Linked DNA regions of Schizosaccharomyces pombe. The gene in region 3 interacts genetically with the main gene of each other region. Each region holds a gene or a part of one and is shown on either strand. Other genes may lie near its edges.

The links. A genetic interaction does not mean that the proteins touch.
Region 1: of alp14 (region 3) and spp1, extra expression of one rescues a mutant of the other (dosage rescue), as found in Schizosaccharomyces pombe (one study listed by BioGRID).
Region 2: of alp14 (region 3) and cut20, extra expression of one is lethal in a mutant of the other (dosage lethality), as found in Schizosaccharomyces pombe (one study listed by BioGRID).

The regions. Positions count from the first base shown.
Region 1 is NC_003424.3:2,427,884-2,432,152, forward strand, and holds spp1 (DNA primase catalytic subunit Spp1), read right to left. Parts: upstream 2,753-4,269; 5' UTR 2,735-2,752; coding exon 2,661-2,734; intron 2,577-2,660; coding exon 1,286-2,576; 3' UTR 1,093-1,285; downstream 1-1,092. Other genes in the region: tRNA m(1)G methyltransferase Trm10, read left to right, coding at 137-1,051; drc1 (DNA replication preinitiation complex assembly protein), read left to right, coding at 3,115-3,244, 3,301-3,933, 3,974-4,224. UniProt on the Schizosaccharomyces pombe protein: Catalytic subunit of the DNA primase complex and component of the DNA polymerase alpha complex (also known as the alpha DNA polymerase-primase complex - primosome/replisome) which play an essential role in the initiation of DNA synthesis.
Region 2 is NC_003424.3:4,040,717-4,046,219, forward strand, and holds cut20 (anaphase-promoting complex platform subcomplex scaffold WD repeat subunit Apc4/Cut20), read right to left. Parts: upstream 3,909-5,503; 5' UTR 3,704-3,908; coding exon 3,466-3,703; exon of another isoform or gene 3,418-3,465; coding exon 3,198-3,417; exon of another isoform or gene 3,156-3,197; coding exon 3,033-3,155; exon of another isoform or gene 3,013-3,032; intron 2,942-3,012; coding exon 2,884-2,941; intron 2,858-2,883; exon of another isoform or gene 2,839-2,857; coding exon 1,318-2,838; 3' UTR 1,093-1,317; downstream 1-1,092. Other genes in the region: prp12 (U2 snRNP-associated protein), read right to left, coding at 1-1,048; MutL family mismatch-repair protein Pms1, read right to left, coding at 4,184-4,419, 4,461-5,503.
Region 3 is NC_003421.2:1,009,696-1,015,998, forward strand, and holds alp14 (microtubule polymerase alp14), read left to right. Parts: upstream 1-1,747; 5' UTR 1,748-2,066; coding exon 2,067-4,496; 3' UTR 4,497-4,619; downstream 4,620-6,303. Other genes in the region: elongator complex subunit Elp2, read left to right, coding at 1-803, 846-1,181; SPOM_SPCC895.08C (uncharacterized protein), read right to left, coding at 4,953-6,303. UniProt on the Schizosaccharomyces pombe protein: Required for bipolar spindle formation and proper chromosome segregation. Has a role in connecting the kinetochores and the plus end of pole to chromosome microtubules. Also required for the activation of the spindle checkpoint pathway.

The DNA of each region.
Region 1 (4,269 bases), on a different chromosome or scaffold from region 3:
TGGCGTAGTTACCAACTTTTTATACTTCACAACACTCTTACTTTTTCCATTAGATGAACAGCCTGGCTAGGTTCAAAATAACGATATAACTAGATAAATTTAGGCTATATTTTGACTGCAATAAAGTTGGGAAATTATGGAAAACAAAGACGCTTTAGATATTGGTAAAGATGACACAAATACTTCTGAAGCTGACGTTTCTAAAAATGAAACTCAAGAGCAACCCGTTCTTAGCAAATCTGCATTAAAAAGATTAAAAAGACAGCAAGAGTGGGATGCAGGTCGTGAAAAGCGAGCAGAGATGCGCCGGGAAAAAAAGCGATTACGAAAAGAGGAAAGAAAGCGAAAAATTGAAGCTGGCGAAGTAGTTAAAAGTCAAAAGAAGAGGATCAGACTAGGAAAGGTCGTTCCTAGTAGTATCCGAATTGTTTTGGATTGTGCATTTGATGATCTGATGAACGATAAAGAAATCAACTCTTTATGTCAACAGGTTACTAGATGTCATTCTGCAAATCGTACAGCTTTACATCCTGTAGAACTTTTTGCTACCAACTTTGGTGGACGTTTGAAAACCAGACAAGATTTTGTGCTAAAGGGGCAACAAAATAATTGGAAACGATACAACCCAACTACTAAGTCTTATTTAGAGGAATTTGAATCCCAAAAAGAAAAATTAGTATATCTTTCTGCTGATTCAGATAACACCATCACCGAACTCGATGAAGACAAGATTTATATTATTGGTGCGATTGTCGACAAGAATCGGTACAAAAATTTATGTCAAAATAAAGCGTCTGAGCAAGGGATCAAAACTGCAAAGCTTCCAATTGATGAATACATTAAAATTACGGATAGGAAAATACTTACGGTTAATCAGGTCTTTGAAATATTATCTCTTTGGTTAGAGTACAGAGATTGGGAAAAGGCATTCATGGAGGTCATTCCAAAAAGAAAGGGAATTTTGCTTAAAAGCGACGAATCGTTTGATGTTTCTGAGGATACTAGGTCTCAGTCAAATCAATCTGATAGTGAATTGGAAAAAGAAAATTAAATCGCTAGTTTAAAATCATACTAGTTATGCTTTTGATTTGTTTTGGTTTTTATTATTATAATGTATTTAGCAAAAAAGGATAAATAAAGAGGTATTAAAAAATATATTATTACTGTCGATTTAACGGAAAACAATATGCTCCACGTAAATAGAAGTCAGAGCTTCCATCCTTTCATGAGTAAATGTATGCCCAAATTTTTAGTTAAAGCTTGAATCGATTGTTGAAATACGATTTTAAAATTCCAAATTCTCATGTTTTCTTTTATTTCCTACTGTTTCTTTAAAAAGCTGGCTACTGAACGATTTAAAGTACAGCGTATAAGGATTGAGAGAAGTTGAAAAGCCATGCCCCTTGTTTGATTGTCCCCTAGCATTATCTTTTTGGTTTTCTGTTGTATTAGTTTCCATTGTTGGACCATGGCCGTTATCATTTTGGGAATTTTTATCCAACTCTTGCAAAAGATCATTCACAGTGGGTACTTTCAAAGGATTAAAAGAATCCATCCTCTCTATATCTATGGGAACACAAACACGACTAGTTCCGGGGTGGACGCAAAATGGAGATTTTAGCAAATGGTTTAAATGTCTAGAAACCTCAACATCCAATCTTGGATACAAATAGGTTAAAACAATGTCCTGCTTGGCAATCGCAATTACTGAAGGAGATATAGAGGCAATAGAACCAGATGCTAAGACAGTGTCAATGTCGGACCATTTATTTTTGCTAGATCGTTCAGGATCAACCTCCCATTTTTTACGAAGAGCAGATGCTAAATCCTTGTCTGGTAGTAATTTCAAAAGGTTTTCGGCTCCTTCTTTAGAAGCCCACGGATCTTGGTCTTCAAGGACAATTTTTACAAAGGCCGATTTGAGAATGTTGAGAGAACGAGTCAAATGTGGGTGAAGGGGTCTTTTTAAGTTATTAATAAGTCGTACGCCACCTTGAGGATTACCTACTACAACCTGTAAATAACTGGCAATCATTCTACGAGACCGATCGTCTAAAGAACAAGCAATTTCGTCACAAATCCAAGCGTGAATACCTCTTCGACCAGAGTATACCCACAATATGTGTTTAAATCCAAAGTCCTCATGAAAACAAATATCTAAAACTTGAACTGCGATCGTAATAAATGGCCAGCATTTTTCGCATATATTTGTTTTTGAGCAGCAGGTTCGTACATCATCGTAGTCAGTCATATCTATATCAAAAACGAGTTCCTTTTTAAGCGGATGAAATGTTGACTTCCTTATTGTTTTCCTGTCCCTGGGATTGGCACTATAAACGGGTCCAACTTCAAATCGGCTTGGGCATAAATTTAAAGCTTCCTTTTTTAACTCTTCCCAATTTGAAAAAGATAAATAACGAATATAAGCATCATTAGGAAGTGTGAACGCGAACTCCCGATGAGCAAAATCATTAGTGACTACCGGACCATGATTTAACCATTGAAATAAATATTTCCACGGAAAAAGATGGCGATAATATTGAATCATCGTCTCTGAATCCACAGCTCCCTGTTTACTATAAGAAAATTGTTAGAGAATTTTCATTATTTTAGAGGCTCAATCGAGTCCATAGTTAAGATTGTTCAGTATTCACACTTACGCGCCATCAAGTGTTCCGTTTGCAATTATCTCATCCAAATCTTTGTCGTCCAATTCATCGATTTGAACAGTCATATTGTAATAAGTTTAGCTAAAAACAAAGGTTATTTACATACAGCTCAACCATAAATCAAAAGGAAACGACAGCGTACTTAAACGTTATACGTTATTTAAATTTAAAAAACTGCTTAACGTATGCGTAAACATTCAGCAGTAAAATGGAGCATTCATTAGTGCATCTACTTTACTTTTAAAGCATAATTAACATTTCAACTTTGCATTTCGAGATACGTATCAAACTCTGTGCAATGGTATTTCTCCACATATAGAATTAGAAGAAATATATGTTTATGTAGATTAGCCTCTCTTTTTGTTTTGAGTTTGTTTTTGCAGTTGTTTGAATCGAACACTACAAAATTGAAATTGGGTCCAGGCAGTGCATTAATTGGCAAATCATGCACGATGAATCACGAACTAAACAAATATCTAGTATAAAAGCGCTCTTAAAGAAGTGGGAACATGAGTACGTCCATACGAACAATTGCAAACCTTCTAAGGAGGATGTGAAGAAACAACCAGAAATAGGTATGTAAGCCAAAGATACACTTGAATTTTTGAAGCAAACTAACGAACTTTTTTAGCGCTTTTATATAAGCAATACTACGAGTTGAAACGCGAATCCTCCATTACCCCTAAAAAAGCAAAAACAAAGGTCGACTTTAAGTTTCAAACTCCTACAAAACAGCGTGCTGAAACTGAAGCGAACGAGAGTCCTAAAGCGCCCCGAAATGATTATCTACAGGTTACTCCGAAAACTGTGGATAAAAGTCTTTTAGGTCCTACTCCACAGTTGTCACGTCGAGTACTTAACCTTCTTGAAGACATGTCTCCCATTGCAGATTCTCATGTGGATCAAATTTCGGATATAAAACATAACACTAGTGAAATTTCATCAACTATGATACCGACTACTCCATCAAAAAATCCCGAACCTGTGGCTCAACATACTCCCACCGTTCTTGAAACCCCCTCTTCATATCGCCTTCAAGTTTATACATCTCCTAACTTACTTCGAGTTAATGCGCCATGCCGAAAAAGTCTCAGTGAAATGCTTCGTGAGTTAAAAGATATTGAAGATGATTACGGATCAAATGAAGAGAAGATATTGCAGGAGTTTGAAAGCTTTAGTAGCTCATCTTCAGAAAGCCTTGTAGATAGAGACATATCACAACCTATGAAGAAAAAAATTAAACGACAAAATCGTCTTGTTAAATGTAAGGTTTTCTCCTGTTTGTACCTGAACTAACGTTTTAGTGCCCCCTTCAATGAATCTTTCCAAAAGTCATTTAGAAGGTCTTCCTGAAATAGACGAAGATGCGGAAAATGGCATTGACGACAATGAAGATACAACTGCTAGCAAAGATTCGTCACCATTTTTAGATCTGCAGAGTGAACGACAAAATAAAAAGATTATGAGAAACGGGCTTGTTATTGGAAAACAAGTAAGCCAGAATTATTCCTCTTACAAATTAAAAAAACGTAAATTTCGGCGTCACAGAAGCTAACATATAATTTGTCAATCGGAACTTTGCTGTTGTATTTAAAAAAAC
Region 2 (5,503 bases), on a different chromosome or scaffold from region 3:
CAAAATATTTTAACCTTAGTTCAACAACATTCCCTTGACCATCATGCTCGATTGTCAGCTTCAGCAAATCCCCGTCACCAGTTTGTAAAAGATAAAAAAACGATCCTTTCATTTTATGGAGAACAGCACTAACAATCAAAGGACCATCATTTGCAGAGTTTGAATTGACTTGATTCCATGGAGTGGATATGGCGTTTGCCGATGCAGCTTGACGACGCAAAATGGGAATTTGATGAAATGCCTTCTGAAGGTGACGGTAGGAAATCCATCCGTTAGATATTACTAGTGTACCGGAGGGCCCATCATTACCACCGGGAACAGGGATTAACATATAAGAATTTCTGTCAACGACCTTCGACCATCTTTTGACAACATGGTTTAATCCCAAATCCAATTCGTAATATGATAAAACCTTTTCCGAAGATGTAAATGCTTCTCTAGTTGAGTCATGGTCTATTTCGCTGTAGTCGACTTCTAAGGCAGCGAAGATGGGATTAGCATAACCAGTATCTAACCCAATTAAATGGAAACATATATTATTAGCTTTATGAGCTTCAAGTGGTGAAGATATTGTTAGGTTAGCCTCTGAATCTCGATTTAGTACGTAAACCAGCTTATTTTTCTCCACAGATGCAATCATAGCGGCCCTCCCCTTCGCATCTATGGCTAAGTATTCACCAGGAACAACTCTTCGAATTCCTGATTTTCCAAAAGTTTCCTGGTATATTGGCACTAATTTATTTTTTTCAACGTTATATTCCAAAATGGTTATTCGTCCTGAATCCGACGTGACTACGAGATAATCGCGTTTAAAACCAGTTAATCTCAAAGGAGCAACATTTCGAATAATACCAAAACAATTTTGATTTAAAATACAATTCATTCTCCCATCAGTTGCATCAACTTTATATATAAGCAACCTTGATTCTGTAGCAATTACTATCTCCTGTGCCTTTTTACCAGACAAGGACGCGGCACACGAACTTTGAACATAATTACTATTCTGTATTGTTAAGGAATATAGAAACAGAGAAGGGAAGGTGTCCATCTCTATACTTTAGCTGAAACACGATCCTCGCTGAGAGAAGAAGTCAGTGTATCAAGGAAACTTATAGCAGAAGGTAAAAAACTTCGTTATATGTTGACTTTTCTAAATGAAGTTATTGCAATTGAAAATATTGTATAAATTTTCTGCTTTTAAATTATATTAAAGAATTAAAAAAAAGAAAAGAAAATTTAAAAGACCGCTACAAAAAATGTAACTTGCTCTTCAAAAACAAGAAAAAAAAAACATTACGACCATTAAACATAAGCTCATTAAAAAGAGAATAAACGATATCTCGAAGATTCCCTTGAAATAAGGACTCCGTAATCGCTATTCTCAGAAAGGGCATATTCGAGTGTTGAAGGAAGGAAATCCTTCTCAAATTCATGCAGCCATAGGCAACTGTTTAGTGGAATGAAAGGAAGATGACTGATAGCATCAAGGTAACTGTTTTTTTGCTGGTGCTCAAAAAAGGTTAAGGGAACGTCTGCTAAGCAAATTTCACATAAGAAGCACTTCTCCTTTAGTTTTCCAAGTATTAAAATACTACTTCCGTTTAAAAGCTTCATGTCTAAAACAGTTGCGGGCTGGAAATCCAACAGACTGCTTCCTAGTAATTCTGCATAATCCAAGCCAAAGTGGCATCCAGATACAGGCAACATAGTATTTTCCATAAGTTGGGAAATTATTAAGAATATATTCGGAGTATCCTTTCGAAAGAATAATGAAAATAATTGGTTTTTTTCATTACAGGATTTTGGTATAAGAGATGATACATTCCAATCAGTCCCTTCAAACAAAACAAGGTCTCCGGTTTTTAACCATTGCTTTTGACAAGTTAAAGAAGGGTAGCTAAAAATGACGTTGAATGAGTCTCTTAAAGATTCTTTCAAGGTTTTGAATGATACGAAATCATCAACAGAATTACTGTCGTCTTGATTTGCAAAATCCTTGAGAGAATAATAATCAGGATCTCTTAGCTGAAGGGGTTTTGTGCCCATAAAGTAACTTGTTAGTTTCGAGCGGAATAAAGAATGACGAATATAAATTACGGTTTCATTAATATGTTCAATAATCTCTTGCGGTGGAATAGAAGATGGTTCAGAAGTATTAAACTCGACGATAGCGTAATTCAACCATGAAATAAAGTGCTTCATATACTTTTTTTCCTCAAAAAGGCAATTGAGAAACGAAAAAACATTATTCTGTAAATAACCCAAAGTTGCTAGACAATCTTCCACCAATTTAGCATCTAGTAATGTGTTTCCCTTCATATGGCCCCATATTGACTTTCCTCTGGCAGAAGATAATAATACAGTTAACCTTTCACAAGCAGGTATTACGAATTCCTGACAGAAAATGATTAAGGACGTGTACGAATTCACCATCGCCCGTTCCCAATTTTTTAGTACTCGATCACCGACTCTTTCGTTGATCCATTCTTTGAGTAAGTCGCTGGGTATACCGTTCATTATAAATTGATATAACTCTAGTTGTAAAGAAAAGAAAGTTGTGTCACTGTACTTGGACACTAAAGCATCAAAGGTTTTAATAAAGCTAGCTTCTGATTTGAAGACATTGTCAAATTCTTCATACATAGCATTCAATACCTCCTCAAGATATCTTACCAAATGTTGCATACGTGTAGACATTGTTGCAATATCCACAATACTTCCCAAATCATTTTTAAGTAATGGCATATAAAGTGTTTTCAAAGAAATATTCGTTCCTCCTTTACAAATAAGAACATGATATGCTAAGTCGTTGGTTATGCTGTGTGAAATGGGAACCCCCTATAATTTGTGTGAGCAAGACATTTAATAACATGGGTATAATACCAAGTTCAAGGCTGATTTCAAAGAATCGCTTTCTCCGATTTTGTAAGACGAAAACATACTATGAATAGTTAGTACTTCTAATTTGTATCGATCGATAAAAAAACTTCTTTTAGAAAGATGCTAATAAATAAGGGGTTTTTGATACGCACTTTATGTATCTAATTCCACGTTCATCCAAAATACTTAAGAGCTCAACTTTTTTGTTATTTTCACCCTCTCGTTTCCTCGGCTCAAAAAATTGTGCGATTGCTTTTGAAGAAAATATACGTTCCCTAAAAAATGTAAGAGACAAGTCGCTTTGTGTTACTACTTACTCTTTTGCCGAACTAGGAAGTGTACCAAGTAAAGGCATATATGCAGTGGCATCAAATAAAAAATCATTGCGTTTTTCATTTACTATCGTTTCTTGCATGGCCCATGTTATCATTAGAACCGCTAAATCTCTGGAAGCTGGCCTTTGCTCAACCAGATGTCCTGTGGAGGAATCAATAATTTTAAGCTCTCCATTTTTAAATCCAACAACTATTAAATTCCCTATTTATGTTAATGATACAAAAAAAGTTTTCCAGTCGAGCCACGTACCATCGTGATTCCAACACAATTCAGTAGCCTCGAGATCATGAAAATCGACATCCCAAATTCTTTGACTGTTACTTCTACAGCAAATCAAATGATTTGAACACGTTAATATCGCAATGAGTTCCATAGAAGGGCATAAGATTACTCGTTTAAGGCCACTTCCAACCCTTTCAACTCTATTAGTTTCATTAATCCATTCAAATTTATGCTTTTTAGGGTATTTGAAAGATTTTGACACCATTTGGATAAGACTGGATGATTTTGGTGATTCGTAGAAGTTTGTTTATTGTAGTACAGCAAGTCAATAAAAGCCTGTTCAGGTATATAAAATATCTAGTGAATGGATAGTTTCAACAATTATCATACAACCTTTTTAAATTTGCTAGCATAGATGGTTTATTAGGAAGTAAGACTGATATTGCAAAACTGAAGTTGATGAAAGTTGTAGGGATACAAAACATTAAGAAAGCGATTATCCAACTGTGCATACCTCGTTAGTACGATGTTTATTTACATCTAAAGAAAAATCATTTCCTCATGGTTCAAGTTCGCTTAAAATAATTCTTTAATGATAAAAATTTCAATTGAGTTTGGCAATAAGAGATTCACTTTTAATAATTGCTGATTGCTATGTTTTAAATACATTGTAAATAAACCAATATTATTCATTAATTCAATAGCTGAAATTCTAGAATCGTTAAAAAAGTCTTTCTTTTACGCATTATATATCTTTTAATCGAAGGAGATGCCTCATAGTTGGCCTTCCATGAGGGCAATTCCAAGGCTTGCTCAACTCAGCAAGATGCCTAACTATTGTATTCATTTCGGATATAGTTAGAGCCCTACCAATCATGACACTGCTTCTACAAGCCTTTGAAGCAAGCATTCGCTCAAGCCTACTACTAAATGGGTCTATCTGTGGGTGCTCAGACAACACACTGATGATCTCTAGTAAATCTACAGAAGTTAAAGGTCAAGATCTTCGTTAATAAACTTACCACTAGTGTCAAAAATGACATTCTTACTCGTGGGAACTGAAAGAAGAGTGCAGCGATTACCAACTCGCTGATTTAAATCTATAGCAACGCCGAATCCTTTTCTTCGAATTAAATCTATATGGTCAATTAAAACAGTTTCCTCTGTAGCAGCTAAATCCAGTCTTTTTGGAAGGACTAAGTCTTGGCTGTTGATAACTAAATTACTTTTGAGATGTTCATAGTTGAACTTTTCATCGCTGGCATGTTGATCAATTATAAACAAATTGTTTCCATGAACAACCACTATGAATCCTCTATTGAATTGACCAACAACCCTCATTCTTAAAAAATCGGCTTTATGTACAGTTAGATTCAAATGATCTTCCTGATTTTCATCTGAAATATCATGCACCACGCCAATCTTGTTCGAAAATTTCAGTAAGGCATCGCTTCGAACAATATCTTTTTGCACTCCACTCAAAGATATATTTATTTTTTTACTAAACTTGTTTAAACCATCCAAGGGCCTAGATTGAAAAAATTTGAGCTTTTGTAGCGCTGCAGTTTTTGACGGAATTCTGTTCGCAACACTGGTTTGCTCAGTACGAGGAATGCTCGAGAGTGTGGAAACTGATTCTGCGTTGTGTACCGACTCAATCTCGTTTAAATTAATTGTTTTAGCAACAGGTGTTGATGCTGGACTTGGATCATTTAGTAACAAATTGTTAGGATTCGAGCTAGGTTTATTGATGGGTTGCTTTAGTGGGAAACTAGAGTCTATTGTTTTCTGCATAGAAGTATCAGTACTAGAAGCGAATAGGGCAAGCTTTTTCTTCATTCTTTCGGAAGAGGCCGTAACTTTTTCGTTTAATGGGCTACTTCGTCTCATAGAATCCTTTTGCAAACGCTCTGGCAAAGGTTTGGATACTTGTGCTAATGACGCTCCTTCTGCAACACTAGTGGATATTGCTGGTTGAGCAGTAGCTTCTACGAGCTTTCTTTTACATGGTGAGCGTTTATAAGAAAAACTTGAGTCATCACTTGTTTCGGATTCTGTTGCTGGA
Region 3 (6,303 bases):
GTAAATTCTATTTATCCGCCGGCACAGATCAAACTACTAGATTGTTTGCACGTTTTAAAAAGGATAATGCTTGGCATGAAATGGCTCGACCTCAGATCCATGGCTATGACTTAACCTCTATATCCTGTATGCCTTCTCGAATTGGATTTTTGAGCTGTGCCGATGAAAAGGTGTCTCGTGTTTTTAAATTCCCTAAAACAATTGTTAGACTTCTTTACCGTTTATGCGATACCAATATTGGGGAGGAAAGCTTACCTGATGCTGCAAATGTTCCTTTACTAGGTCTTTCTAATAAAGCTACCACTGCATCTGAAACTGGTACGGTAAATGCAGAAGAAGTTCAGACTCCTGTTGCTGATGTGATTGGTTCTTTGAACCATCCTCCTTTTGAAGAACACTTACAGCGTTTGCTATTGTTTCCGGAAGTTGAAAAATTATTCGGCCATGGTTATGAGGTTTATGCATGCGCCATATCTAATAATGGTAATATTGCCGCGACTTCTTGTAAATCACAAACCCCCGAACATGCTGTCATTCGGTTATACGAAACGCAGTCATGGAATCAGCAGCAAGTCCTTAAAGGTCATTCTTTGACGGTTACAACTATAAAGTTTTCACCTGATGACCGATACATTTTAAGTGCTGGGCGGGATCGGTTGGTGTGTTTGCATGAGCAAGCCGAAAATTTATTGGATTATAATAACTTTGCTTCTATAAAAGCGCATTCTCGTATTATTTGGGATGCTAGTTGGGCTCCCAAAGAAATGGGTTACTTTTTTGCGACTGCTTCGCGTGATAAATTCGTGAGTAATTTTTTATTTGATCAAATCTTGCTAACTATTTAGGTTAAATTTTGGAAAATCAATGACAATAAAAAAATATGTGATGTTGCTGCTCTCCAATTTTCTGATGCTGTTACCGCTGTTGACTTTGCTCCGTTCTTTCACAACGATGAACTCTTGCTTGCGGTAGGAACTGAAGCTGGTAAAATATTTATTTGGAGATGCCCGAGAGAGAATCTTACCAAATGGTACCCAACACGTTTACCAGACCACATGGCTCCTATGGAGTCAATTAACCAAATTTTATGGAAGCCCACTTTTGAAACTATGGGGTTGTATTCTCTTTTAATTGCTGGCGAAGATACCAGTGTACGACTTTTGAACGTTACGTTGGGATAAACTTGAAAATAAGTACAATTGGTAATGTTAGATTGGGTTGGCCTGTTTTAAACATACCTGAGGGGTGGTTAAAAATGCTTAGATAAATTATTTATTGTTATAATTGTCGATAAATAAAAGGAAGGTTAATGGGTTGTTAGGTTGGCATAATTAGTGCTGAATGGTAGACATTCATCAGATTGATTCATTACTTTAGTTGTTATATATATATATAAATATGTATTTTTAATTATTAGTATCAAAAACTTTGGTGTAGTAGTCTTCTCAATTAACTCAAACACAATTTTACATGTTAGAGAAAAAAACAACACATAAAAATTTTTTTTAAAAATAAATTATATTTAAAAGGTAGATAAGGCAAGATTTTAACTAAGAAGTATTTTCAAGCGTAATAGAATGCAAGTTGTAAATCTAACTAAGAACATTGATTACTTCTACGAAATTTAGTTTATTTTTTTTCCCTTTCTATTACTCGTTTACATTTATTGAAAGAACGGAGCAAGCTAGGAAGTAATTTATATTCAACTGAATGACTGCATTTTCGGTAGTGTCCAAAAGTAACACTTACCAACTCCAAACATCTATTTTGCAAACCTAAGTCTTAATAAAGATACTTTTTATTAAAGGCTATATTTTCTCAGGTTTGAATTTGTTGACTCAACGAGTTAATACTTATATACTCCGGCCTTGCTAAATCGATATTCTGTAAAGTTTGACAGTGTTGTATTTGCCTACAGGCTTAACGAGTAATTACTTATTATTTATTCAAAAAAGGGAGAAAAGGTACTAAGTACAACTTTTGAGTTTTAGAATTGGAGTTTTGGGAGAGCATTTGCTGTTTATTTATCTTATACGCTCCTTTAATTTTTGGCACCCCGGAGGAACATGAGCCAAGATCAAGAAGAAGACTACTCCAAACTTCCTCTAGAATCAAGAATAGTACATAAAGTATGGAAAGTGCGTCTATCTGCTTATGAAGAGTGCAGCAAATCGTTTTCACTTTCAGCAGATGGTTCGGATAATTGCTTTGAGCTTTGGAATAATCAGAGTGAATTGTGGAAATCAGTGCTGACTGATAGCAACGTAGCAGCTCAAGAAGCTGGTACCGCAGCGTTTGTAGCTTATTGCAGGTTTTCCGATCCTTCTCATTTACTTAAAGCTCGTGAAATATCAGTCCTTTCAATTTCAGAGAAATGCTTAACATCACCTCGCGCAGGTACAAGGGAAAATGCACTAGAAGCTCTTATGCTATTAGTTGAAGCAGATTCAGCTGCGCCAGTTATAGAATCAATCATTCCTTCTTTATCGGCTCGATCCCCGAAGGTAATAGCTTCTAATGTCGCTGCCATTGCTAGTCTAGTTGAGCAGTTTGGTGCTAAAGTTATTCCTTCAAAAATGATTATTCCACATATCTCCAACTTGTTTGGTCATGCTGATAAAAATGTTCGTAAGGAAGCATCTCGTTTAACTGTAAACATTTATCGGTGGACAGGGGATCCTTTAAAAGATTTACTATTTAAAGATCTAAGACCAGTTCAGACGAAAGAGCTTGAGTCTCTTTTTGCTGAGCTACCAACAGAGCCTCCCAAACAAACTCGTTTTTTGAAAAGTCAGCAACCTACATCAGAGCCGAATGTTGAAACACAGGTAGAAGAGCAACCTGCTCTCGAGAATGAAGAAAGTGAACCAGAACCGTCAGATGATCAATTTGATTTGGTAGAAGAAGTGGACGTTTTACCCAATGTGGATCCTAACCTGGAAACTTTAATGGCTTCTTCGAAATGGAAGGATCGTAAGGAAGCGTTAGACAAACTACTTCCTGTCTTATCTCAACCAAAGATCAAAGACAACGATTTTTTTAATTTAGTTGCTATTCTCACAAAGTCTGTTTCAAAAGACGCAAATATCATGGTGGTTATAAATGCTGCACACTGTATACAAGCGATGGCTAAAGGTTTACGCTCAAATTTTTCGAAGTATGCCTCAACATCTATTAATGCACTGTTGGAACGATCCAAAGAGAAAAAGGCTAATGTAATCGAATCACTATCTTCTGCGATGGATGCTGTTTTGGCTACATCCAGTTTGGATGACTTAGCCGAGCTCATTGCTAGCTTTGCCGGGAACAAAAATCCTCAAATCAAAAGCTCCTGCTTTAGTTTGTTCTCGAGATCTTTCAGTAATATGACATCCTTACCATCTAAGTTTACAGTTGATACCTGTGCTAAAGCATGCGTTCCTGGTGTTTCTGATACCTTTGAGCCGGTGCGTAGTGCGGCAGCAGAAGCCTTGGGTGTTTTGATGAAACTCGTTGGTGAAAGAGCCATTAATCAGTATTTAAGTCCGTTGGACGACATCAGGAAATCTAAAATTCGTTCTTTTTATGAAACAGCTACAGTAAAGGCTAAGGCACCTACAAAAAAGTCGAAAGTTAAACCTTCAAAACAAGAAGAATCAAAAGTCGTCGTACCTTCAAATGCTAAGGCTGTCAAGAAATCCGTTGTTCCTTCTAGTCCAGTTGTACCATCTCCACGAAAGGCAACTAACAAATCGCTTTCCATGGATGTATCAAAGGGTAATGCATTTGAGAATGGTCCTTTGTTACCAAGACCGACTACGAGGCCAGTTTCTCGAGGGCTTTCACGAGGCACATCTTCCAGTTTGCAACAAAAAGTAAAAGCTTCCACTCCTTTGAATTCGGGAGCACTTAACGAAACGGTGCAAAATTTGAAGAACATGGAGTTGGACGATCCGGCTCCTCAACCGGCTAAGCATTCACGAGTTGATCGTTATGAACACCCTAAAGTATTAGAAGACAATGACTCTACCATTTCGTCTTTAGAATCTCTGAAGAGAGAAAACGAGGAGTTACGAGAGCAGTTGAAAGTTGAACATGAAGAGAATATTTCTATGCAAAAACAACTCAGTGAATTGAAAGGTGAATTAAATACCTTACGCAGTGCCAGGAAAGCCTCACCAATAGGAGACAGAAAACCTGCATTTATGCGAAGAGCTAATACTGACTTTTTAGAGCTCTCTACGAGTCCCTCATTTCAACGTTCAGTGAGGGAATTTGAACCTACTAGACCTAAACTTTATAGCTCTATAGATGTGAATCAGAGATCCCCTTTAGCATCTGCGAAAACAAATGGTAATTTCACGTTTCATGCTGAATTACCAAGATCACCGTTTTCGTCAAGGGCCAATAATATCAATCCTGATTGGACTAAAGCCATTGATTTAGCTGCCAAACTAAAACAAAAAATTACTGAGATGAAACAAACAGACCAAAGACATCAGGGATTGATTCACTAGTTTTTAAATTCTTTCGTTTACATTCCAATGTCCCTTACTTCCCTTTCTATTTTTTAATGTTTTAGAATAATGATAATATCGGTTTACAAAAATAATAACAAAATACGTATTCTCGTTTATACCAAATTTCTTAAAATCAGATTTAACTATAGGTTAAAGATGGAGTCAAATGGTAACTCAAACACACAACACAAACAAACATATAAAATAAATAAAAGAATTTTAACGTACGAATTTATCGCATTAAACGTATTAGTGTCATTAAAAAAAGTAGTCTGTTTAATTTTGCATCACAAGTATACTGTATAGCCGTACCAAGTATAAACGAAAACCTCTTTTTAAAAAAATTAAACATAATAAAGAAATTGTTAGAAGAAAAAAAATAAAGATATGCGTAAAGTACAGACAGTCGAAAAAAGAGTAACAATCACATGAGTCTTTGCCCAATGAAAAGTTCTAAGCTTTGTTCAAAAAGTCCGGAGGACTGATGTTGCTAAAGTAGTCCAAAGAAGCGGTGGAAGGAGTATCGGCATCACCATCATCGTCCTCCAGGTAGAAATAAGAATCACGATAAGGGGAATAAGGCGGTAAATGGGACAATTCCGACTCTAATTTCCTATGAAACAGATATATAGGAAGCTTAAAATCCAAGGAATCTAGCCACTCATTTAGTTTTTTCGCATTTTTTCGAGAGTATTTAGATAAATTTGGTAGGGAGGCTTCGGAAGGAGAGGCTAAAGATTGCTTTACGCTGTTTTCAGTATCGCCATGCCAGCTTCCAGAAAGCGAAGAAGATGATGATGAGGGTCTTTTCATAGAAAATAGTGAATTAGATTTAGCTTTGTGAGTCCGAAGGAATGGGGGAGCGAGTTTTCGGGATAAAGAGGAGGGTTCACGAGAGTGAATTGATACATAAATTGAATGTCGCACAAGGAGGTGTGGATTTTCTGTACAGCTTCCGTGAATTAAGTCGTTCACAGGAATTGTGAACTCAACTCTTGAATGGAGGCCAGGAACAATAGGTGGAGACCACTTACCATCCTCAAAAAGGACAGTAATGGAGTTTCGAAAAGCATCATTAAAAAGAAAAAAGGTAATGCTTTGGACAAGAAGCACTCGTATATAATAGCGTTTTAACTTCTTTTCGACTACAGGAGACGAGGTACGAGATAATGAAGAGCGTCCTTTCATATCACAATCATTACTCAAACGTGGTAACCGATCTTGAAAGATAAATTGAGAATCTTGGGAGTTAATAGCAATGGGATCTATATGGGGATCATCTGTTCCAGCAGAACCTGGGGTAGATGACAGTACATCTGCATCTTCGGACTCCAAATCAATTAAAAGTGGGCAAACACAGCCTGGTCCTTTATAGCACTGTTGAGGATATTTAAAGAACGCAGTTAGAAATGAATACTTTGAAGACTTCATTGATAGCGAAGTAAAACACGCATCGTTTAGGGGCGCTCCATAACGTATGTGCTGAGATTCAGGAATTCGATCGGGATTGAGAGTAAAAGGTACAACTACAGGAACATTGGCTGACTTTGGCATACGACAATCATCTTCAGTATACAATTTAACCGTTAATTTGTAAGAAATCGAACCTTCTTGAGTCACAATCGTTCGTGGGGTGCACCTAGGAAGTGGAGCAATGATATCAAACGTATAGAAAACTCCTTCCTTTACTTTGAAATTATTTCCAAGATCCCAGTCGATATGATTGAAATGACACTCCAGCGGTAACTGTCTCTCAGTAGGAAACTTTTTCAGACCAGTAAAGCTTGCAGTAAGGTATTTACAA